4 linked regions of the Drosophila melanogaster genome follow. The gene in region 1 interacts genetically with each later gene. Each region holds a gene or a part of one and is shown in the gene's direction. Other genes may lie near its edges.

Region 1 (5,922 bases):
CATGGGTAACAGTGCGTTGATCAAATAATAAAAACATCATCGTAATGGAAAAAAAAAAAAAAAAAAAAAAAAATCAATTGGTAGCATTTACATGCGGCGCGTTTTTCTCTATGTTGCTGAATAAATCACAGACCATACGAAACATGTTCGTATGAATAATTTGTGGACTGTATTGCTTTTGGGCCATTATCCTTCGATGGAATGAGGTCTCGTAATTGCTTTATAAAAAGCATGTTTTTGGGTCACCAAAAATTGCAGCATAATCGATTAAATTAGTAAATAAATCAATAAACATTTCCTCGGCCGATTGGCGACTGGTGTTAGATTACTAATTGCCGTTTGGCATTAATTAAGTCGCTATTTAGCAATTAAGAGGTGTTTGATGGCATTTAAGGAAATCGGTGGTTCACAGTCCATGATATTTTTTAAATGAATTTTTGAATAATAAATATAATATAAAATAATATAAATTAAGACATTTTTGTTTAAATCCAACGAATATAATTTTAATTAAATCAAACCATAAGTGTTCTGTTTTGCTAAACACCTTTCTCCAGGGTATCTCGCATAGCCCTAAACATTTCGGGCAACAATCCCACATGGCTATCCACGCAGTTGCTGGTGCAACGTTCCAAGCTATAATCGGATCCATTGAGGCGGCACTGCTGGATGCACTTCTCTAGGCGATTCTCAAAATCGGATATACCCTGCTGTACGAAGCAGCGTGATCGGGTCAAACGGATTTGGCAGCGATCGATGCACCGCTCCACCGCCTCCGCATTCGCGTCCGCATCCGCACAACAGGCGGTCGCACATCTGTGCATCTCGATCTGCAATTTGCGCAGATAATCCCGATCCAGATCCTCCATGGCGGTTAGGATTGCATTGTCAACGCGTTCTCGCTTCTCCTCCAAACTCGAATTGTCACAATCCATCTCGAGTAGTATAAAATTTATGGAAAATATAAAAGTCGGTTGGTAATTTTCGTTTGACTGCCCTTATTTGAGTTACGCAAAACGCAATGCTACTTTGGTTTTGTAATAATTTCTTCAATTTAAATAATATATGAGCAGGAAATGGGCGACTCGCAGTGTTAAGTAAGTTAGGTCATGTTCTTGACTCTTCTTGGGCAAATTTTTAAACTAAAGTCACGGCATTGACATAACTCAGTGTGAAGCTATCTCTAATTGAGTTTGAGTTAATTTGTTTTTTGCTGATAAGTGCACTACTGAAAGTGTATATAAGTAGAAGTTGGACAACGTGGCCGTGCATAGTTTTTAAAAATGCATTACTTGCATATCTTTGGGCTCTTGGTCTTTTTGGCCGCTTTTGGATTAAGCCTTGAACGTCGTGATAAGGAATTCTACGGGATATCTAAGGAGCAGCTAACGACTACTAAACATAAAGAGAATTCTGTGGAATTTGTACAACACAAGATATCCTTGAAGCTGCCGCAGAGATACAACCGATTCAAACGTCAGTCCTTTACGCCATTTGAAAGGCGTGTGATACGTTTACTACGTAAATTGGGCTTATTAAAAAGCGATGCTGAACAACTGTTGGATACTCTCGAAAAGGACAAGGATCTATTACGAAGATTGAAGAAGTTACTCGACGAGGTCGACACCGAACATGAGACCAATGATTTCCTTGAAGATTTCTTCGATTTAATATTTTTCAAAAAAATATAAGCAGCTTTCTTCCTGTTGTTAGGAATGATATTGATCGATAACAATATTGCCGATTATACCGATAATTAATGCCATAAAATCGTTTATTTAAATTGTTTTAGATATTGCAAACAATCTGATTGCTAATAGCTAACAATATCATTACGATAATCGTTTGGATTATTCTAATCCCTTACTTCCTCCATCGCCCTCACACGCCATCACTCTCTCTCTCTCTCTCTCTCTCTCGATAATTATCGATAGTTTGGGCACTTGTGTTGGACCAACTTAAAACACCGCACAAATGATTGCCATAAATTTGATGGCAACAAACAGCGACAACAAAAACAAAGAGTAGCGCTGCCGCCCGCACTTTCTCCGCAGTTCTCGCCATTTCTCCGCTCTACTTTCTCCGCTCCTCTCTCCACTCAATAATGTGCCAACTGTTGAGTTTCCTTCCGCTTCCGAATGCGAGCGCGAAAGAGAGAGAGCGAGAGCGAGAGAGGGTGTGAGACAGAGACGGGGCGAGCGGGAGTATGTGGGCGTTGGGCGGCAAAGGGTGAGGGAGTGAGAACGATACGGCCACTCGCTCGCTTGCTCGCTCTCGCTCTCTCTCTCTCCCTCCCTCCCTCTCTCCCTCTCGCTCTCTCGCCGGCATCGAAGGCTGCTTACAGGTGTTTATAGTACTTCGGCTTTTGCCGACCACAGCCGAAGTTGCCGGCCGATTGCTGGCCTCTCGCTCGCTCCCGCGCTTATGCTCAATAGCGCCCTCTCGCTCCCGGTCGCTTTATATTCCTGGCAATGCGTCGCCTTCGCATCAGTTTCATTTGAACGGTCGACGAGGCGCGTTGTTCTAGAAATAAATAACTCATTTAAATAGCAGAACAGCCCAAGCAGGCCAAACATTTCAAAGCAAAATACCAAAACTCTCTGGAACTACCAAGTTCTTAAAAAAAAACACCAACATCGCCCAAAACACAACAAAAACATCGCATACCATAAGAAAAACATAAACATACTGAAAAACTTACAATATCTAAATATAAAGTAACTATTTTTTTGATTGTGCTTCTAAGTGTTGTGCTAAACCAATATTAACTTGTACAAATATTCGAAAATATTCAAAGATATTCCAAAGTATTTATTCAATACTTGAAATATAAGCTACGATACAAACTTAAAACTTAAAACTATGTAAGACTAAGATCTAGTTTTTGTGCTTTTTGAATCCTAACTGTTAACGTGTAAAAGCACGCAAAAATGTGCACGAAATTTTGACTTGATTCGAACGACTGAAAAGTGCGTTCCATTGTAAAGAAAAACTAAAGCGGCAAACCGAAACGGTAAATATGAATATACTTATTGAAATTCATTGAAAAATTTCCTTGGAAAATTTGTTGATTAATTTCGTGATGTGAGAGTTTATTTGCCGTGTGTGATTGTGAGCAGCGTGTTTGTATTGTGATTTTTCGGAAATGTTTTTATATTTAGTCTTCAAATGGGGATTCCCAGATTTATTTAAAGTTTCAGCTACAATTTTTGGCAAATATTCGTAGTTTTAGGAAAAGCTCCACAGAATATTGTATTGTATGCTTCAGTTAATAGAATCACGCATGGAAATTATCAAGAATTCGGTTCTCAGCTTGTTGTGTTGAATTTGATGAGTTTTTTTGGAATATCATAAAATATAATCGGATTTTATAGTTTACAAAGAGTTTCAAAATTCCACAGATGTAAAATAGTTGACTCGAATTGCTTGAATATATTAATATATCTTAGTTTAAAGCAGTAATTTTTTAAAAATTATTTAAAGCTCGAGCTCTTTTTAGGCTCCACAAATATGTGTGCAACAATGTGTAATTTTGAATAAAATTCCGTGGAATGCCCTTTGCTTTTCATTCTGTATAAATTCAATTACCAACATTCTCATTGTCTCAGAGTATCCCCCTACTTTCGAATGTCTGTGTGTCAATAAGATGATTTAATGAAAAATCGTCTGCAATTTCGGTTCGAAATTCGGCAAAAACACGGCGAAACAAACTCGTTACGCATACGCCGTGTGGGCAATTGTATTAAACGATGCCATTCATTGAAAATTGCTGGCCAAAGCGAGCGGTTTAGGTTTTTTTTAGGCCACTCCGGTTAAGGATTTGGGTGTGCTCTTGTCGGCCAGCCAGTCTCGTTAGCCGAACTTGTTGCCACATTCGCATCCGCACTGGCATCCGCAACGACATCCGCACACGCATCCTTCGTGTACGTGTCCTTTTGCTAATCGGTGCGTTTAAGGAACTGCATGCTGGAGGATGTTGCAGCTCTTGTATTGGCGCGTGACCGGCTTTTCTCTGACATAAGAGCGCGAAATGGCGAAAATAACGTAATGGCGAAAGGCGGCACTCTGTGCGGTTGGCAATCTTTGATTTCGCATTTCCCCGGTAACAGGGGAAAATGTCAGACAACGTGGCGTATACGTGGCATTTGTGTTTGTGCTTCCGCTCGTTTGTTGTCCTCAAGTTTGCATTCAACGACGAAGGCACTTCGTCGCGGTAACCAAGTGTAAATATACAATTTAAATTTCTCTAAGGAAACTTTAAATTTATATATTTTTTTTTTAATCAATACGAAGAATTTACATTTTAAATCACCAAAGTATAAACATGAATGAAGCCTGCACATATTTGTAATAATAAATGTGTGCGCTTTGAAATGGTTTAAAGATTTTTGTTTTAGGCGACTTTGTTTGTTTCTGAAATAAAGAAATTGCTACCCATTTGTCTTGCGTACATATAAAAACGCGATGTTTCAATTGTTGATCCACAATTTTTTGTTTGCTCTTGTTTGCTTCGCTTCACATAAAATATTCAATTTTCATTTCTTGTCGCTTTTTTTTTATTCGTGACCCAGGGGTTGGGTTCGCATATAAAATCCAATAAAAATACACATAAAAATTGAAAACAAAATACAAAAAAAAGAAGAAAAAAAAAAAAACAGAAAAGAGAATGAAAATGGTCGAAAGATACCGCGGGCTATTTGACAGCAACGAGGGGGAAACACGTATGCATCGCATTTTGATTGCAGATTGTATATCCATTTGTAAGGGTGTTTCCTTTGCCAAAAGCACCGTGTTAATTAATAGAAATTGCCATTTGAACAATTTTTGGGAATTTCAATATCGAATGGAATTGCATTGCAAACCAAACCAATTACCAACCAGTGTGGTAATTTATTCACCATTTTTTACCCCCACAAAAATTTCCACAATCAATCATTGTTGTGTGTGGCAGTTTAGGTAGCTCAAAGAAGCTGGGGTCGGAAAAATCGAATTTTTGAAATTTGAAAGCTGGAATCGTTTGCCCATTTTTTGCCCATGTTTGCCCACCAATTAGTTTTTTTGCCCACGTCCAGTTTTTGAGATATGAATTTTCGAAAAAGTTCGAAAATTTTCGAAAATCAAAAATTTCGCTTTTTTCAAAATTTTTTTTTTTAAATCGCAATAACATCGTTTGCCCACGTTTGCCCACCCTTTAGAATTTTGAAAAAATTTATACTTTAGAAAATATAAGGCTTTTAAGTTTACCTCGGTCTAATCAGAGAGTAAATCGTTTGCCCATCTCTTAAAACCAAATATTATCAACAAAAAACGTTTGCCCAACCATTATTATTAGTTTTTATCGTTTGCCCACCCTTTAAAAAACCTTTAACAAAAATTTTTTTTCGATTGCCCACATTTAAAATACAACCAATTTCCTTAGCCCACCTCTTTAAAATAAAAATTTCCAATAAAAAACGTTTGCCCACCATTTAAAACTAAATAATTTCGATTGCCCACCTTTTAAAACTAAATAATTTCGTTTGCCCACCCTTTAAAATTTGTTTTTTTCGTTTGCCCACCTCTTAAAAATGGTTTTTTCGATTTTTCACCTATTAAAAATAAATTTGTACATATGTATGTAATAATTGTAAGATGTGGCGTCAAAAGCACAGTTACTTACAAAAGAACAGTTATTTACATATTTACATACATTTTCAATATATCCATAGTGTTAATCATTCATGAATTGTAACATCAATTTTTCTTAATCATTGTTTCATTTCATGGAAAATATTTTATATTGCAATATAATATATATGCAAAAAAATGTATGTATGTTTATCAACACCCTCCAAGCTCAAGAAAATTCTGGAATAAAATATTTTCCATGAAATGAAACAATGATTAAGAAAAATTGATGTTACAATTCATGAATGATTAACA
Region 2 (5,818 bases), on another chromosome or scaffold:
GCCATGCTATTATTAAAATAGCTTAAGATAAATTGGAAACAAATGTGCGACATAAATGCCACCGCTCAACTAGGAAATTGGTCAAGGCGACACCGATTTGTGTATAGATTAGGGGCGGCTAATTTTTAAATTAATTCTATAAATAATTCCCAAGGTTAATAGCGACAATTAGGCAGTTATGAGTGCATGACTCTTACGAGATGAATGCCCAGTCTTACCCATCGCCATCCAGGTGAATTGTGGTGTCCGCCAGGATGGGCACCACCAGGCCAATGGTGGTCCGCTCGTTGCAGTCTATGCCCAGCAGGCAGGACTCCTCCATGCCCGAGGTATTCTTGTTGTCGCCGGCCGCCGTTGCGTTTTCCTTGTCTGCTGTTTTATCACATTTGCTGCTGGCCTCTGTGGCGGTCTGCTCAACGGACAGCTGACGCTGCGTGGGGACCGCCGGGGAGGTGGACGACTTTGTTCCCGCGGATCCACCAACTTTTACCGAGTGGTGACGCATGATCCGGTGGCGCCGACGGTCGCTGGTGCCGCTCCGACAACAACTACGCGATGCAATCACCAGATAGCGCGTGCGGTTGGACCGCTGTGACTCCAACTTGACAGCCTTTTGATAGGAATAGAAAGATATGTTTAAAAGATAGACAAAGTAATTTTACATTGGATACGCACCATCTTTAGCGTGTCCTCGCGCTGCAACAGGTAAAACATTGATTGCAGGTGGAGCTGGATGTCCGAGTTGTTGCTTTGCGTACTGTTACTGGAGCGGGTGGAGTCGGTGCTCAGGCGACGCTCGCTTTGCGTCAGGGGCGGGATATCCTTAAGAGCCAGTACCAGGGCGGTTCCCTTGCCGGCAAAGAAGCACTCGCTGCGATCGTTTCCTTTGCTATTGCCCTCGTCGTCCTCGGACTCGCCATCCTGATGTTATAGAGAAAGGAAAGTTGTTTACTCGGTGTTTAAGAATACCTTATCCTGCTGCACCTCACCCGTGGGGTTAGGCTAAATATAAGGATGTCGTCTGGCAAAGAACAAACTTGCATGCTCATTATTTTGCAAAGGGGTAAGATAAACTCCTGATTATAGTCTACACTTCAAGGGCGGAAAAGAAGCAAAGCTGTATCTGCAGTTCCAAGAAATCTGATTGTTCAACTGAATACCGTCTGATTTTGAGAAAAGGGTCACAAGTTCGAAAAAGATTCCGGTTTAGTGAAGTATTTTTTTTTTTTTTATATTTTCTGATTTCTTAGAAATAATAAAATGTTAATTTATGTGTTCAAAAATACCGATTTGACATATTGAGCATATCTGAATTAAAACGTTTTGTAAAATTAAATTGATCAACCCCCGATATTAATTTTTCCCTCTGTGCAGGCGGACGTCAAGGTCTCGCGAACTATTTTTGGGCGGTGGGGCGGCGAAGAAAACAAAAACAAGCGGTAAGCGGAAAGCGACAAAAACGACAAATAAGGCAATGCAAAAGTCTGTTGAAAAATATAGACGTCGCGACGTCTGCGGATTTGCTTGGGTTACACCAAAAGCAGCGCAGCGCAGCACAGCCGATGACGATGATGACGCTGCCTCATACCGCCCACACGCGAACGTTGAACGTCGAAATCCAAAAAGCGTAAGCAACAAGCTGGCGGATGATAAACATTGGGCATGAAAAGCACATCCGAGCACACAAAGGATCATGGCCAAAAGCGGAACACGCACTAAAGAGCCTGCCCGTAATTGGCTCTCCTGGCAGAGTGGGGGTGACCAAAACAAAGCACACACGCATACGCACACGCGAAAACCATCAAGTCTCCTCTCACCGAATTCGAGCAGGAGCCCGCCACACTGGGAGAGCGCTGCACCGTCACCAGCGCCATTTGTTGTTGCCGTGGTCGTGGACGTCGTCGTCGTCGCCGCAGCCGCTCCTCCACCTCCTGCTCCTCCTCCCCCGCCGACGCCTCTTGACCCTCGTGTTCCACCTGGCGCAGATGATGGCGATGCTGCAGCGGTGTCCCTTGCAATCCTCTCCTGCTTCGGCTCCTTCTGCTCCACCTCCTTTTCCCTGTGTGTGAGTGTGCGCGAGAGTGTGTGGTGTGTGTGCAAGTGTTGTGGGCTAAGGCTACAAATGCATTTTCATATCGCTGCCTGCTGGCCGTTGTTTTTGCAGTCGGCTCCGCGACCTCGTCCTGCGATCGTCTTGGTTTCCGCTTTCCGGACACTCTAGCCAGGCGGTTCTCTCTAAGAAACAGCGTGTCCTTACAATTAACGGACACACACAACGCTGCTAAATGGTAAATAGACTACACGAATTTTTCTTAAAAGAAAGACAGTGAGGACGCCATTTCTAATCGATAACACTAGTATCGTCAGGCAATCGTTCTGGCAGGGCTGGCTAACTATCGCAAGCGAAAGCAATGTTCGTGTGGTACACCGAAAAAAGTACTTATTAATGAGAAACGCAGTGATGTTTGTATACTTCTTGATATATCAGTAAAACAGGCTTTAATACATTTTTATGTACTCTTGCCTTTTTGATGATTAAAAATCAAAAAATTAAGTTACATTAAGTTATCATTTATCGAATAACAAGTCAAAGGTAGTCAGAGGTGGTAGCCACTGCACAGCTGTTTAGTGTTGGAAAATAACAACAAGCCGAACAGATGATTGTGAAAATCAGCTGGCCCAAGAACAACATAACAAGCGAATGCTTCCGGCGGTTTGGATCTTTTAAAAGACGCTCAAAATCGAAGAAAATGTCAGCATTCATCGAGGAAACAAAAAGCCTGCTGCCGCGGATCGCCTTCATAGCCTGCGGATGCTTCAGTCCACCCACACCCATGCACCTTCGGATGTTCGGTGAGTTAAACTAGATTGTGAAATTCTGCGGTACATAATCGATAAAATTACGCGGCATGTTTTTGTCAACAGAGATAGCCAAGGACCACTTCGAAATGCAGGGAACCCACAGAGTGGTAGGTGGCATCATCTCGCCCACGCACGACTCATATGGCAAAAAGGGTCTGGCCTCCGCCTTGGACAGATGTGCCATGGTCAAGCTGGCCACCCAGAGCTCCAATTGGATTCGGTTGTCCGATTGGGAGGTGCACCAGAATCAGTGGATGCGCACGCAGGCGGTGCTCCAGCACCACCAGAACTATATCAATAACCACATAAATTCCGGCGGGGGAGGCGGAGATGACGGGGAGAACACACATCTACCCGGATGGCTGCCTCGTGGGTTGCACGACAGTCGGGATCCTGTACATCTGAAGCTACTGTGCGGTGCCGATCTGCTGGAGTCCTTTGCTGTTCCAGGCCTATGGGCAGAGGCCGATGTAAGTCTTGATATATTTGAATAGTACCTTTTTTTATATGATTGTTCCCAGATTGAGGACATTGTGGCTAACCATGGTTTGGTAGTTATCACCCGGGCCGGCTCAAACCCAGGAAAATTCATCTTTGACTCCGACATATTGACCAAGTATCAGGTTAGAGAGACAGTACCTCGACAACATTATTTCTTATTCATTTCCATTCACATTTCAGAGCAACATTACGCTAATCACCAACTGGGTGCCTAATGAGGTGAGCTCCACGTTGATTCGGCGGCTCTTAGGACGCGGCCAGTCGGTCAAGTACCTTCTAGACGATCTGGTGCTGGAGTACATCAAGCGCCAACGATTGTTTAACTTTAAATCGTAGGTGGTCTTCCTGTTACCTCCCCTTAATCCTGCATGTTCACTTACAATTACCCATCTTTCAAACGATACGTACACTGAATGAGGCGCCACCTTAATCCATTTCACACAGCAGAGAACACACTTAACGTGCACCACCAGCAGTCTTTGTATTGTTTCCTTTTATGTCTTAAACTGCAGGCGGGATGCACCGGCTCCGACCGAATGCGACTCTTGACGCGCTTTGCACGTGAAAAAGAAGCCCTCGTCGCCCACACGCTTTCCAACCCACCAGCACCGCAAATCGCACCACTTGCCCCACCAGCACCATAAGCTGTTTGAGCCGTGGCGCCTCTTCATGGAGCGTGAGTGAGCAGAGCAGATCCGAGTTCAAGTTCCTATTTAGCAGTGATTCCTTTAATGCATGTTTATTTTTGCCCAATCTTAGCCCTTGTAAATACCCTTGTTAAATTAGCCATAGTTTTGCGGTGGTCAGTGTGCGTATCATCTACTTACACCGAATTGTTGCCAAAATGTAGTCCCATTAAACAATAACCTTAACTTTGTTGCTATTGTACTGACCATGCCCGCCTAACCCATGGAATGTAGTAAGTATATAACGGATGCGGTGCGTCCCAACCATTTGCTCTTTAACCACGCCTATACGGACAACAACAAGAACGCGAACAGCTACTCTATAGGCGACCAGCTGGAGCAGGACATGGACGAGTCGGACACTCCAAGCCCGCAACTGCAGCATACGCCTACGTCGCGGGTTTTCTGCTGCGGGGAGGTGCCTTTACGTGGATCCAAGGTGCTGCGATCCGGTCCTGGACAAGCGGTGCAGGTCATCACCATGCAGGCAGATGAGAAAGAGGAGGTGGGTATCCTTAACCGCTGTATCCATTGCATTTCATACATAGATGGAATCCAGAGTTTTGCTTTCAAACTTATGTTTAGATCCTTCTAATCAATTCCCCTCTTTCAGAGCCAAGCAAAGAAGCAGAAGATTTCCCAAGTGCAACTTTAGGAAACTGGAAGACGAATCTCACGCGGATTAAGACAGGGGCGCTGGAAGCTATTTGTTGATATTATATAAATATGCAAAATAAACACGTTCGTTACCAAGTTGACGGCTGCCCATGCTTTTGTGGGTCACTTCACGGAGTGGAGGGACAAGGCATTGAACTTCAGGCGACGTGCATTGACATTGCAGTCGTTGCAGGGCTTCGCTTTGGTGTCTGATGTCAGAACTTGTTGATGGTAATATGCCAGTTGCAGGCGAGAGTGGCCACCATTAGTTTAAGCTTAGAGGGACTGCAGTTGCTTGCTTCCCTTGGAAGAGTCCACATCGCGAATGTTCTTCTTCCGTCGCCAGAATGCTAAACCCGCGCCACGCCCTTCGCGCGCTCCGTCCTTTGCGCTTCCAAAGCGTCGGCCTCCTGTCCAGCTAACGCCCTCGCATCAGCACGACCAGTTGCCCTTCCTGCGAAGATCGCGGTTCAGCGCCCTTCCCCATTTCCGCGCCTACGAGGACGAACCGGAGAACCTTTCGCTTTTCATCGCCATCCTGTACGTGGTGGATTTGTTTGGCATCTTCCCATTTGTCACGCTGCCGGCATTGCTGGTGAAACTTGGATACTTTGGCATCCTGTTGGTGCTTTCTATCATCATCCTGCAGATCTATACCTCCTTCCTGCTCTCCCAATGCTGGACCATGGCGGAACTGCTTGATCCTTCAATTCAACAGAAGCGCAACTATCCGTATGCCGCACTAGCAGAGCTGGCTTACGGTCCCTATATGAGTCTGCTGGTGTCCGTGCTGCTCGATCTAAGCATTTTCGCCATGGCGGTGCCCAGCGTGGTCATGGCTGCCCAGAATCTAGAGGGCGTCGTGCTGCGCATGAGCGCTGGTCAGTACAATTTCTCTTACTGCTACTGGGCCATCATAGTCGGCCTGGTCATCTGCCCGCTCATGTGGCTGGGAAGTCCAAAGCACATGCGGTAAGATAAATTTCAGGATAGGATTATTTGCTTTCTATCAATGCACTGCATTATCCTATTTTATAATTATCCCAGGGGCTTGGCTATCATCGCAGTTTGCGTGATGATCGTTATTGTGGCGCTGTTGTGGTTCTGCCTTT
Region 3 (6,882 bases), on another chromosome or scaffold:
GAATATTCAGTTGGTTTGCCTCTCCAGTCGGCTGGCCCCCTTTTTGTTTTGTGTATCTTAACCGGAGGTGCACGCCTGTTGCGCCTCTCGATACCGATTATTAGTTCTCAGATACTTGGGCTACTCAATTGGGGATTACCACCCATTATATTTTTGATACATTGGTATATTTAAGGGAAAATTATATATTAATACATAATTTATAGTAACTATATATGTTGGAATAAAGTCCCGATATCTATAGGTATTTCCATTATCTATAGTTCTTATACAAGGGTAAAAGAAGAGAGAACTCTATCGCCTATCAGTTATACGCTTAGCTCAGCTAGTGAAAATGCGTCGGATATGGACGAAACCTCGACGGACAGACAGACAAACGGACGGATATGGCTAAATTAAATCGGCTAGAGGTTCTACGGAAGAATATATATACTTAATAGAATCCGAAACGCTTTGTTATAGCCGTTACATACTTTTCAAGGAATATTATTTACCCTTTACTCAACAAGTTACAAATTTTGTTCTCTGTTACAAACATATCAAAATTGTAAATTACAATTACTAATAATTTTATAAAATTTGTTGAAAATTATATTAAGCTTTTCGATGGCCTTTATGGCCATTTTAATGATTATTGAACAGATTTGAGTATAAAGTATATCTGCCTTAACCTATGGATACAAAAAGACAGCCAAATATTAAATTTAATAAACACTTTTGTAAATGAAACCATTAGGAGATGGTTTGTTATACATATATGTTACCAACAGTTCCGTTCTGAGTCATACGAGAATTTTCCCCGCTCAGTCCGGTAATCCATTTTCAGTTGTGGTTTTGTGGCTTTCCTTATTACCCAGCTCCCCAGGTCCTGTGCAATTTCCATATTATTCCAAATCCGAATCGTTGCCTCAAGTGTTTTGGCGCAGAAAACTGTAATTTTTATTCATTTCCAGGACGCAGTCTGAAGTGCCTGCTAAACGATTATTAGCAATTTGATATAACTGCATGTAAGTACAACACGAGAACAAGTCAACAACGGATTCGCCTGCACACACACACACACACACACACACACAGACACGTGTGGCCACTTACATAAGGACGAGTGGGTGTATGTGTGTGAGTGTGTTTGCCTGTGTGACAGCCAACAGTGGAAAATCACTTCAGTTAACTAAATCCCCGCAACAACCATGCGCCGACTGCGCCGCAGCAGCACGACTTCTGCAGGAGCGGACAGAGAGAGAGAGAGAGAGAAGGAGAGAGAGAAACAGAGAGCGGAACAGCCGAAAAGGACACGGCACAAAGCAGCCATTGCAGGGGCGTGGCCTGCGGCCAGAGAGCCAATCGGAGGGCGAGGTCTTGCGAACAGCGACGTCGGCAGCGGCAGAGGCTGCAAGGGACGAGGAGAGAGCGGGGCGGGGCTGGGGGAAGAGGTGGAAAAGGGGGCGGCAGCGTTAAGCTCATTGCCATATTTTCGCTGTGCTCTCTTTTGAATTTACTTTACTAACAAAACATGACTGTTGGGAGGCAAAAAGGAAATTGTTTTATCAAATGGGTTTCCTTACGCTTTTTTATTATGAAATTAATTTCCAGCATCGTTTCGCAGTCGTTGACGTTCCACTCCCATCGCTCTCACTCCCACTCTCCGTTGGGTTCGCCATTTTCCAGTTTAAACCCCATTTTGCGCCCAGCTCCTTTGAGCATGTGTTTACTCTAGTTTTCCTTTGGAGCTGCCTTAGCCATTCCACTTTCGTTTCATTCCGTTCGGGCAATGTTCGGGAAATGTTTGCATAGTCATATTCTCCCTTCCCTGCCTCCAGTTTCCTTTTTTCATACCGCCTTTCCCCCCGACAAAGGCATTAAAATGCAAATCTTGATTATGAATTTAAGCTCGGCAGACAAATTAAATTTATTTGCCACTCGAAAGATAAAAATCTTGAAAGTTTTATTTGATTACCGCTTGTGTCTGGTTCAGAAGTTCCCCAGCAATCCTTACCAATTCGCATTGAAATTGTTGCCTACTTTTTGGGGCTATATTATTGATACTGAATATATACAGTTCATATTCAATATCATATCATTGTCACCTTACATTTTATATTTATTTACTCTTTATTCTTCGGTATTTTGTGCGCATTTTATTATTGTTTTTTTATTAAGGATATTATATGTTTTAAAAATGTCCCCCACAAATTGTTGTTATTTGCAGTGCCGATATAGAAGCTCTCGCCCAGGTAAAAGTGTGTGAGACATATGTTATTCAGTTGTAAGTGCAATGAAAGAAAAATATAAAATCGATGGGCATTGCTGGTCAACACTTGGTGGGCTTCTCCTGGCGGAGTGTTGAGTTCAGCACGGGCCAAATCGTACCAACAAATTAATAACTTGATAGGGCCAATAAAGGTACATGGGTATCCATTTTCCCCTAGCCTTCACATCCGCGATGGTAACCCATATAATGGCCGTCTTCGGGGAGCTGGGTGTTTTGTGAGTGGTGTCATAACAGACAGTGAAAGTTACTCAATTCATTGGAGGCACCTCCTCCGAATCGATAGCACTGTACTGCAAGGTAATATTTTAATGGGTAATCTCAAGATACGAAACATTTTCATTATTATTAGTAGAATTTTTCTTTTACTCAAGCATTCTTTAGAAGGAAAGTTTGTGAAAGTGTCTTAGCATATATGTATGAACTACATGCATCTGGTACTCTAAGATCAACCCTGCTGACCAGTGTAATCGATACGAAAATCATACTCAAAATAGAATGGCCACTAAGTCAGTTAGCAAGAATGTTCGCCCGCTAATTGTAAAATCAGTTTAGGCGCACTTTTCAATGGACTCAAATCGGGCGCAGCCAACGCGGAATATTCACAAATAATAATTAAGTGAAAACCCATAACAATAAATATTCGATATTACATTTGAGCTTAATTCGGTGCGCTTAATGTCCGGTCAGTGAGTCGCGAGTTTTTGGCTAGGATTACGGAGCAGTCGATCTCAAGCAGCGAGGATGGTTCAGTTCCTGGGCAAACAGGGCACCGCGGGTGGTCAGTGTCCATTGAGTGGTTTCATGACCAACTGCTAATCAAATTTGCAGCTAGTCCCGAAAGAACTTGACCTTCCAAAGGTCACTCAATACTCGTTTTGTGTTTTATGAATCAAATAAAACAAAATTTGAACAAAAGCCAATTCAATTGACTTTATTGATTCTTAAGAATCCTGTGAGAAATATGTTTATGTAATGAACTTAACCTTAACATTTATATAAACGATTATACAATATTGGTGAAAATTATTTTGCGAAAGGATACCAAGTGGGATAAGGACCCCAATAAATATTTATTAGTAATAGCTTCACATTTGTCTTAGTCGTACTTTAACAATACGTTGTAAATAGTTTTTATTTCATTTGGAATGCACAATCCTTTCCCAGAGCTCATTCACATGGTGACCCTGGACAAGACGGGCAAGAAGTCCTTCGGCATCTGCATAGTGCGCGGCGAGGTGAAGGATTCGCCCAACACCAAGACCACCGGCATCTTCATCAAGGGCATTGTGCCCGACAGTCCCGCGCATCTGTGTGGTCGCCTAAAGGTTGGCGATCGGATCCTCTCGCTCAACGGAAAGGATGTGCGCAACTCCACCGAACAGGCGGTCATCGATCTCATCAAGGAGGCGGACTTCAAGATCGAACTGGAGATTCAGACCTTCGACAAGAGCGATGAGCAGCAGGCCAAGTCAGATCCGCGGAGCAATGGCTACATGCAGGCCAAGAACAAGTTCAACCAGGAGCAGACCACCAACAACAATGCGTCCGGAGGTCAGGGAATGGGGCAAGGTCAGGGTCAGGGTCAGGGAATGGCTGGCATGAACCGGCAGCAATCGATGCAGAAGCGGAATACCACATTCACGGCCTCGATGCGTCAGAAGCATAGTAACTACGCCGACGAGGATGACGAGGACACCCGGGACATGACCGGTCGCATTCGCACGGAGGCGGGTTATGAGGTGGGTTAACCCAAGGTCGCCACCCATCGCTCTACTAACTTATAAGTACCTTAGATCGATCGAGCATCCGCCGGTAATTGCAAACTCAACAAGCAGGAAAAGGATCGCGACAAGGAGCAGGAAGATGAATTTGGCTACACGATGGGTAAGACTCAATTGAAGCCATTAAAAAATGTCAGTCACACAGCACGTGAATGCCATTCCCAGCTAAGATCAACAAGCGGTACAACATGATGAAGGATCTGCGCAGGATCGAGGTCCAGAGGGACGCCAGCAAGCCACTGGGACTCGCACTCGCTGGCCACAAGGACCGCCAGAAGATGGCCTGCTTTGTTGCCGGTGTGGATCCCAACGGAGCATTGGGTAGCGTGGACATCAAACCGGGCGACGAGATCGTCGAGGTCAACGGCAATGTGCTGAAGAATCGCTGCCACTTGAACGCTTCCGCCGTGTTCAAGAACGTGGATGGGGATAAGCTCGTGATGATCACCTCGCGACGCAAGCCCAACGATGAGGGCATGTGCGTCAAGCCCATCAAGAAGTTCCCCACCGCGTCTGATGAGGTCCGTACTTTTCACTTCTTTTCGGATGGATCCTGCGATAAAATGTCCTTCCCTTCTATTCCAGACTAAGTTTATCTTCGACCAGTTTCCCAAGGCGCGCACGGTGCAGGTGCGCAAGGAGGGTTTCCTGGGCATCATGGTCATCTATGGCAAGCACGCTGAGGTGGGAAGTGGCATTTTCATCTCGGATCTGAGAGAGGGATCGAATGCCGAGTTGGCGGGCGTGAAAGTGGGCGACATGCTGCTGGCCGTTAATCAGGATGTAACACTGGAATCCAACTACGATGATGTGAGTCGTCAGGAAGCCCTCCAACCACTTAGTTTAAAACCATTTCATATCCACTTCAGGCTACTGGACTGCTTAAACGTGCCGAGGGCGTAGTGACCATGATTCTATTGACTCTCAAGAGCGAGGAGGCGATAAAGGCTGAGAAGGCGGCGGAAGAGAAAAAGAAGGAGGGTAGGTATTGCGTCCAAGCAAGTTCAAAACTGACATCTTCATCCCGATAACTCACAGAGGCCAAGAAAGAGGAGGAAAAGCCACAGGAACCCGCCACAGCCGAGATCAAGCCGAACAAAAAGATACTCATTGAGTTGAAGGTGGAAAAGAAGCCAATGGGCGTCATCGTCTGCGGCGGCAAGAACAACCATGTCACGGTGGGCTATCTGAACTTTCTGTTTCTGCAAGAAGTACCTTAAACAACTTTTCCCTGACAGACTGGCTGTGTAATCACCCACGTTTATCCGGAGGGACAAGTGGCAGCCGACAAGCGCCTCAAGATCTTTGACCACATTTGCGATATAAATGGTACGCCAATCCACGTGGGATCCATGACGACACTGAAGGTCCATCAGTTATTCCACACCACATACGAGAAAGCGGTCACCCTAACGGTCTTCCGCGCTGATCCTCCGGAGCTGGAAAAGTTTAACGTTGACCTTATGAAAAAAGCAGGCAAGGAGCTGGGCCTGTCGCTTTCTCCCAACGAAATTGGATGTACCATCGCGGACTTGGTGAGTGCACATACACCACTGGTATACAGTGGTAGGAAGGCTCAACCCTAAGTAACTACTTTCTCGACAGATTCAAGGACAATACCCGGAGATAGACAGCAAACTGCAGCGCGGCGATATTATCACCAAATTCAATGGCGATGCCTTGGAGGGTCTTCCGTTCCAGGTGTGCTACGCCTTGTTCAAGGGAGCCAACGGCAAGGTATCGATGGAAGTGACACGACCCAAGCCCACTCTACGTACGGAGGCACCCAAGGCCTAGAGACGATCCTCATTCTCCTCCTCCGGTAGCGAAGCAGTGCAGCAATTCAATAAAAGAACCAACAATTCGAATTCAAAACAATCTGTTTTCCGTTGTGGGTTTATTGAAAAGGAAACTCCTTAGGCTATAGAGCTTGCATTGGATGCAATACGGGGCCACAGATCGGCGCATTCCTTGGCCACCGGTCCAGTGATGGCCGAGCCCTTCATTTCGCCCTTGTTGTTTACTATTACCCCGGCATTGTCCTCAAAGTATATAAACACCCCGTCCCTCCTCCTGAACGGTTTGCGCTGCCGAATAACCACGGCAGGCATGACCTGGAAACAAATGAAAATAGTAGTTAGCAAAGTTGCTCGGCAGTGTGCAAACCTCCTGCTGCATCGGTTAGTTATGCAAAAGTGCGTTGTTATAGGTGGGGGAATTATGAGAAGTGCAGTGAAACCGTTTTATAAACCTTCTTCACTACAATTTTAAATTCTTATCAATAAACAAAAATATTAAAAACGTGAGTTTGGTGCGATAAGCTATCTTAGCCGGCACAAAACATGTGGGGAAAATTTATTGGAAGCGTAAGGAGAAACCTTCCACGTCTAATACAAATCTATCTATATTATCGTATTACTTTACAATGAAATACTCTGCAATTGATAGAAATTAAAACTGCCCGTTCAAAACAAATGACAAATAGTGTAGCACAAAATACGATTATTAACCTTAAGCAACCCAATGTAATAAGAGCTAACTAATTTCAAATTGGCTTCTTTGAAACAGAAACAAGTTGAATTTCATTCAAGAAAACGCACACAAACAAAGTGGAAAAACGTGTTCACTGGGCGGGTTGCTAGCCCATGGGCACTTTTAGCACATGACCGATTCAGCCGGAGCACTGGGCACCACACTCACCTTCTTCCTGAGCTCGGGCTTTCCCTTCTTCACGGTGGCCACGAACATGTCGCCGACACCAGCGGCGGGCAGACGGTTAAGGCGACCGCGGATTCCGTGGACGGCGATCACGTACAGGTTCTTGGCTCC
Region 4 (6,199 bases), on another chromosome or scaffold:
ACAACTTCTGGCATCAGATTAAGAGCTAAACCTATTTCAGCAGTAGCCGCAAGCATGTGAGTGCTTTAAATTCATAAAAACACATTAAAGTGCGTATTTTTAACTTTATTTAAATTGATAAATTTTATACCATTGATTGATTTATTTTATACCAATATTTATAAAATAGTTGGCCTGCTTTGGAAAAAAGAAGATGGATAAAAGTTGCACAAATAAAATGTGTGAAACGTGGTAAAAACTTGTGAATTTTGTGTCCAAAAATGGTTTAACATATATTATTACAATATCATTTAAACAAATTGTGGGTTCAGGCAGTTTAAAATTTCAATATATGGCAAAAGGCAAGTTAAAATTTTTCCCCAAATCATCAGACACAAGGACACTAAAATAAGTTTTTACTTTAGAAGTCACCCAGAACCATGTGCTGGAAAATGTTCTCCAACGAAGCTTCGGATTTTAATAATCATTAGGTACCAGTTGCTAATCAATTTTAGATTAAATATGCTTTTAGATAAGGATGTTGTCAGGTGATATTATGGATACGTATGAACATATGTTGCTACTTATTCTTGTTTAGTCCCACATCCCTAGATCAGTTAAAGGGTATACTAGATTCTTTTAAAAGTATCCAACATGTAAAACAAAGTCTTTTCGACCAAGGAAAGTATATAAATTCTTGATCAAGATTATTAATTGAGTCGATTATGTCCGTTCGTATATCCATTTGAACTTCGGGATCTCTGTACCTATAAAGGATTCAGCATACAGATCCTAAAGACTTTCCACACGTATGCTTATTTCCAAACGTAGCCACACCCAATGTAACGTCGACACACTGCAAACCATTTTTGGCCCTGATTTTAATTTCTTGGAATATGAACCTCTAAACCAATACTCTGTCTTTAATGACAGGAGCGGATTATAGAAGCACATTTCTTATCTTATCACTATTTATGTATATTTCACAAGTGTGACCAAGCTAATAGTGATATTAGTAAAATCTAATAGGCAACGCATAGACCTAAAGAATTAGAATGTGGTTTCCCACAACGATCAAAAAAAAAAATATTAAAACATTTTCAAAAGGTGTGTCAGTTTTGGGCGGTTGTGGGCGTGCCTCTAGAATCGTTTTATCTAATCTCAACTCTCTAGCTATAATGGTTCCTGAGATGGTGGTGTTCATACGGACAGACTGACATGGCCAGATCAACTCGGCTATTGGTTCTGATCAAGAATATATATACTTTATAATAATAAATAAATAATATACTTTATATGGTCGAAAACGTTTTGTCTGTTACATACTTTTTAACGAATCTAGTATACCCTTTTACTCTACGAGTAACGGGTACAACAAAAATGCTATATTCGACTTATGTTCTGACAGTCAGATACCCGTTACTCAGTTAGTGGAAATGGTGAATTGATTGAGAAAATATTTAAACAAATTTGAAAGTATGGGCGTGGCAAAAAGTTTTTTGGTAAATCGATAAAAATTTACAAGTGTAATAAAAATATAAAAAAAAATTTGAAAACATTTTTTAAAAGTGCAAGGATGTGCAAGTTTTAGGCGGCTATAGGCATTAGGGGGGCTTGGCAACTTTCTATCTGTTATATTTTGGAAGTGACAAACAGGTTCTTTTTTCGTCTTGGGCAACTATTATAATATATTATATTATATACTAAATAACAAGTTTACAAAGAATTCACTACACTAGTAATAAAAGCTATCACTACTTCAAAGTTAGCAGACCCAATACGAAATTCAATGACCAAATAGAAGTCAGCACCAAAACTTAATTACTTAAAAATTTCTTTGAGTGACAGAAGGAAAACTTATATTAGGACAGTATATTTCTTAGATTAGATTTATGGAAGATAACAATGTACTAATTTCTGAATTGTTTAAATAATATCGAACGAGTCAACTACCTTATCCAAACCGCTACCGGAGCACTATCCCTTCGAAAGCTTAGTCTCATTTCTCAACAGCTAACTATAATTTGAAAATATTTAGAATAAAGTTATTGTTCGATAGGCTCATGTTTTTTTTGGGATGAAAGGGGATTTTTATTAAATGTCCGAAAATAATTTTTCGTCACTAAAGTTTGGTATGGTATTTGGCATGATGCGATCGTCAAATGTTTTTACCGAGTCACTAACTTGGACATAGTCTCTAAAACATACTTTTGATTTTATTTTTACTTAGTTCCGAACTAGGGGTCAATAATTTAAGTTATTGAAATTCAGTTGCCCCGCGTGGGACAATCTAATCGAATGCTAATTGTAATTCGGTTATTTATCCTGCGCACTTCATTGGGGTCGTACAAATAATGAGTTCTGATTACAGCGATTGTGCCCAAGTCTAGTGTTGCCGATAAGATAGCCGCAATAGATACTAAGCAGAGCTACATGCACACCCAAAGTGCCGTTGTGACTCATCGACTCCTCGACCATTGTTGCGGGTCCGACAATAGGCCTGTACTCGATCAGCGATTTTTAAAAGGTGTGTGAACCGCGCAGAAAGCTTTGGAAAGCTTGTAGAGTTTGTGCCAATGCCTCGGCAGAGAACTTGTTCTTATGGATTGTGGCTGACCTTGCCGTAGAAGCCCATTATGTTTTTATTTGCATAATACCTTAGAACAGTCGAAGGGTTTTCGGGCTATCGCATTTCAATATCTTGGAGATTATGAAAAGCTTTGCCAGCTGTTTTGAAGTTCGCAGCTGTGCTCTGGAAAACTCCCTCTCCATTACCAACTTGCGGCATTGACGCTCTCGCCGTAACCGTTACCCGTTAACCGTTTTGAGCTCGGCGACCTAAGCTTTTGGCTGCGTCGCGAGGTTTAGTTAATATTATTAACCGGAGTGACGGCCAAGTTGTCGCAACGTTTCTCGTGGATCGCAGATCGTGGCGGTAAGGCGAGCTTTTTGCCGGGGGCTCAAAGTGTGAGTGTGAGGTGTCTTCAGTTTGGTTTTTTTCACATAGCGTGGCATTACTCTCTTTGACGAATTCAATGCGACGTCGCGCTTTTTTCGGTTCTGCAACTTCCGTTAGTCGGTGGCTCGAAAAGTAAACAAAGTGCTGCATATCGCATGCAAACGTGACAATCTTTCAGACGCACTCCAACTTGATAACTTGATAAGCATCTGTGAGATGCAAAGATACAAGTTATAAAGCACCATCTCGCGAAGCCATGTAGCCGAGTGAAAAAAGTAAAATATGCGAAAGCAGAAAAACAAAAAATTTGTGCGTGTGTTAGTTGGCCATTGTGCAAACCTTTAATGAGCTGGAAGCGCCAAAAGCCAAATACCAACGAATATAAAGAGCACGCGAAACATTCAGTTATATTTGCAAAACTTGGTTTTGTGTTCACGCAAAGATAACGATATGCCATGATAAAAATTTAATTAATTATTTTTCAATGCAAGGGATATAAAAAAAGAAAAGTATACACGCTGTGACTGAATGAAACTTGGAAGGCAAAATTAATTTAAATGATTATTTTCGTGGCGCAAAGTATCCTTCCTTCCTCTACTTACCTCCACGGCAATAAGTCCATTATACACAAACGCGGTATTTATAATTTGTGGTTTAAACAGCCTCCGCAGGCCGCAGAACGGACATTTTTCACGTAGGCGAACTGTCGATGCGACTGAGAAATGCAAAAAACTGGAGCCGACAACAAAAGCTTCCTATCTATAAAGCCAAAAACCGATTGCCAAAAATAAAATAGAGCCCATTAAATAGCCCGCGTAAAGCGCACACAACAATGATGGCCACGTGCTTGGATACCAAAACCAGCAAGAACCATGAGGCCCAGCAACTGCAACTGCCCCGGCAGGCGTCATCGAACGCCAACTTGCCACATTTGCAGGTCCGACGTCATCGCCGCAGCATCTCACAGCTGATGGCCAGCATGGGTAATTTTTAGATCTGAAGATAAAGATATTTTCATTTGCATAGATTACTTGGTTCTCGTAGAGCGGCAATGAAATATGTGCGTCATCGTGAGATGAGATAAGAGTGATCATGTTTGCTAAGATATTTCAACATTTAGAACTGGTTGGCGGTAGGTGTTATGGTATGCGAAAGTGAAAAATCATTCTGCACCAAGTTTTCATTGTTTCAATTTGGGGCGATTTATAACAATGAGTGTGCAGTCGAACTTAAATAAGTGTAGTAGTGTAGGGAACCAAGAACTGATAACGATTTCATTGCCTAAATAATAAATTAGCCGAACAATACCCGTTTCCTTTGGATTATATAAGCCTTTACCCACTTATTGCTTCCATCAAATTGCGTGTTGGGCTCGGCCTAACGGTGCAATTAGTAAATGAATCATAATCAATTTTAAAATGCATGACGCGCTGCAAGTAACGATACATGCCGATATTGTTAAAAATATATCGAGCCTGATTTACATTTGTACTCATGCTCGATCATTGCAACAGGAAGTTTCGATTTCTTTGCAATTGTGTGTAGGTCAGGTGAAGCAAGCGATCGGTGGGTTTAATAACCTTTTCAGTAGACCGGCCACTGACAAAACCCGCTAAACAAAGGCGATTCAAAATGAACGCCCTCGGTCTGAGGACATTTTGATAACGGGCATTAAATGGAAAGCATTAACATTCCTGCAAAAAAAAATACAATGCATATAACAGAATTTTTCAGTTAAATCAAAAATGTTTAAGTAACATTTAATTCGGCAATTTAGAACTAGTTTTTTTTCACACCAATGCCCTATCAATAGGAATGGGATACCACAGCTTTATTCGCCACCATAAAAACGTATTATTGTGGTTGGAGTTTAGTTTTTTCAACGAAAAATTGTATATTCTTGAAACAAAATGGGGTTACTTCTATTCGTCTTATCTGTTAGTGATAAAAGTGTCAAGTTTTTTTTAAGTTAATTTGCTTGCCAAAACCAATGAGCCAAAACTAATGAGTTCGGCAAATCGCTTTGAAAGTGAAAAGGTGTTAAGAAATTATGGTTCTTTTATTGAGTACGGTGTTACACTTATTATACCGCCTTAAATTTCTGAAAACGGCGGCCGATGATTGAATAATAGGTCCAAGGTTTAATTATATCCACAATTCTCTTTAACGATTCGTCTAATCAAATACATTTTTGATGGACTTAAATTTTTTTATTTTTTCACTTTTATCACAAATCATGGAACTCGAGCATTAAAGAAGTTTTTGTTTTTGCCTCCAGAAGTTTTTGTTTGGTGACTTGAAGCTGATAGCAAAAAGAGCTTCGTGATAAGGCATATGCCAACACTCGTTATTTTCACTACCCATATAATAACGAATTCAATACCAAGAATTTATGCCTGCCAGTTGAACTTGCCCATAAGCTAGCCTGTGTATGTAAAAGTGTGGTAATAAAACTTTGATGGCACTTATTATGATAGGGTATCATGGAAGTGCCCCAATGTCATTGATCATTGACGGCCATTATCAAATTCTTTGCACTCGGCGTTCCAGTTTATTTTAATTATCACAAGTGATAAGGAGCAATCGTAAGTTATGACTCGTTCAATTGTTTGATAAATTAAACCAACAACTTCTGAAACAGTATCTTAACAAAAATTTTCAGGTGTCGCTACCTTTTTTTTTTAAAAAACCATTTTCGATTTTTGAATTTTAAATATTTCTATACGCGGTACTCAGCGGACAGAAATAAAGTTACTCTGTGAATAGGCGAATAGGACAGGACACCTGTTATTGTCTGCTAATCAAAGCACTTGACTAAGTACTGATTTATTCTGTTTATTACTATCGTCGATAACTGAACCTGTGCACTTTTGCAAAGCCGTGCCGCATCCATAAACTCACTTAACCGTCATTGGTTGGCCTACCTACTGTGCAGTATGGCCTAATCTATTTGTTGTGCCGTTTTATTTGGGCTTGCTATCTAAATGTCAATCAGCTAGAAGCTGATTGCTCAAGTATTTTGGGAAAACAGAACAGTAGAGATTAGGACAGGTATATGGCAAAACTGTATCTCCAAAAGATGCGTACGATACCTAATATTCTCCTCTGATTTGCGTTCTCAGCCAGTAGCACTGAGCTAAGGAAAATGCTATACTTACGGGCGAAGGAGGTGCGTCGTGTGTATTTAGCTTTAAATGTTTTCAAGGTTCGAGCAGGGTTCCTATGTCAAGTTCAGCCGACCATAATGCATTAAACTTAACT

What was found.
Region 2: of rdgA (region 1) and Nmnat, changing one suppresses a phenotype caused by changing the other (phenotypic suppression), as found in Drosophila melanogaster (one study listed by BioGRID).
Region 3: of rdgA (region 1) and inaD, changing one suppresses a phenotype caused by changing the other (phenotypic suppression), as found in Drosophila melanogaster (one study listed by BioGRID).
Region 4: of rdgA (region 1) and Pld, changing one suppresses a phenotype caused by changing the other (phenotypic suppression), as found in Drosophila melanogaster (one study listed by BioGRID).

The regions. Positions count from the first base shown.
Region 1 is NC_004354.4:8,922,684-8,928,605, forward strand, and holds the start of rdgA (retinal degeneration A), read left to right. Parts: upstream 1-2,500; 5' UTR 2,501-3,013; intron 3,014-5,922. Other genes in the region: CG12661 (uncharacterized protein), read right to left, coding at 540-935; CG43255 (uncharacterized protein), read left to right, coding at 1,284-1,691. UniProt on the Drosophila melanogaster protein: Required for the maintenance of phospholipid turnover within the photoreceptor.
Region 2 is NT_033777.3:24,942,601-24,948,418, forward strand, and holds Nmnat (nicotinamide mononucleotide adenylyltransferase), read left to right. Parts: upstream 1-2,636; 5' UTR 2,637-2,657; coding exon 2,658-2,853; intron 2,854-2,925; coding exon 2,926-3,332; intron 3,333-3,383; coding exon 3,384-3,485; intron 3,486-3,543; coding exon 3,544-3,695; intron 3,696-3,875; coding exon of another isoform or gene 3,876-3,912; exon of another isoform or gene 3,913-4,233; intron 4,234-4,283; coding exon 4,284-4,554; intron 4,555-4,662; coding exon 4,663-4,704; 3' UTR 4,705-4,800; downstream 4,801-5,818. Other genes in the region: ssh (slingshot), read right to left, coding at 219-610, 676-921, 990-1,049; mah (mahogany), read left to right, coding at 5,032-5,678, 5,754-5,818. UniProt on the Drosophila melanogaster protein: Catalyzes the formation of NAD(+) from nicotinamide mononucleotide (NMN) and ATP. Essential for viability.
Region 3 is NT_033778.4:22,854,730-22,861,611, reverse strand, and holds inaD (inactivation no afterpotential D), read left to right. Parts: upstream 1-2,817; 5' UTR 2,818-3,013; coding exon 3,014-3,050; intron 3,051-3,400; coding exon 3,401-4,011; intron 4,012-4,065; coding exon 4,066-4,156; intron 4,157-4,218; coding exon 4,219-4,574; intron 4,575-4,638; coding exon 4,639-4,863; intron 4,864-4,922; coding exon 4,923-5,034; intron 5,035-5,091; coding exon 5,092-5,231; intron 5,232-5,291; coding exon 5,292-5,588; intron 5,589-5,658; coding exon 5,659-5,850; 3' UTR 5,851-5,924; downstream 5,925-6,882. Other genes in the region: RpL23 (ribosomal protein L23), read right to left, coding at 5,970-6,167, 6,754-6,882. UniProt on the Drosophila melanogaster protein: Involved in the negative feedback regulation of the light-activated signaling cascade in photoreceptors through a calcium-mediated process.
Region 4 is NT_033778.4:6,242,664-6,248,862, forward strand, and holds the start of Pld (phospholipase D), read left to right. Parts: upstream 1-2,848; 5' UTR 2,849-2,914; intron 2,915-3,600; 5' UTR 3,601-3,770; coding exon 3,771-3,921; intron 3,922-6,199.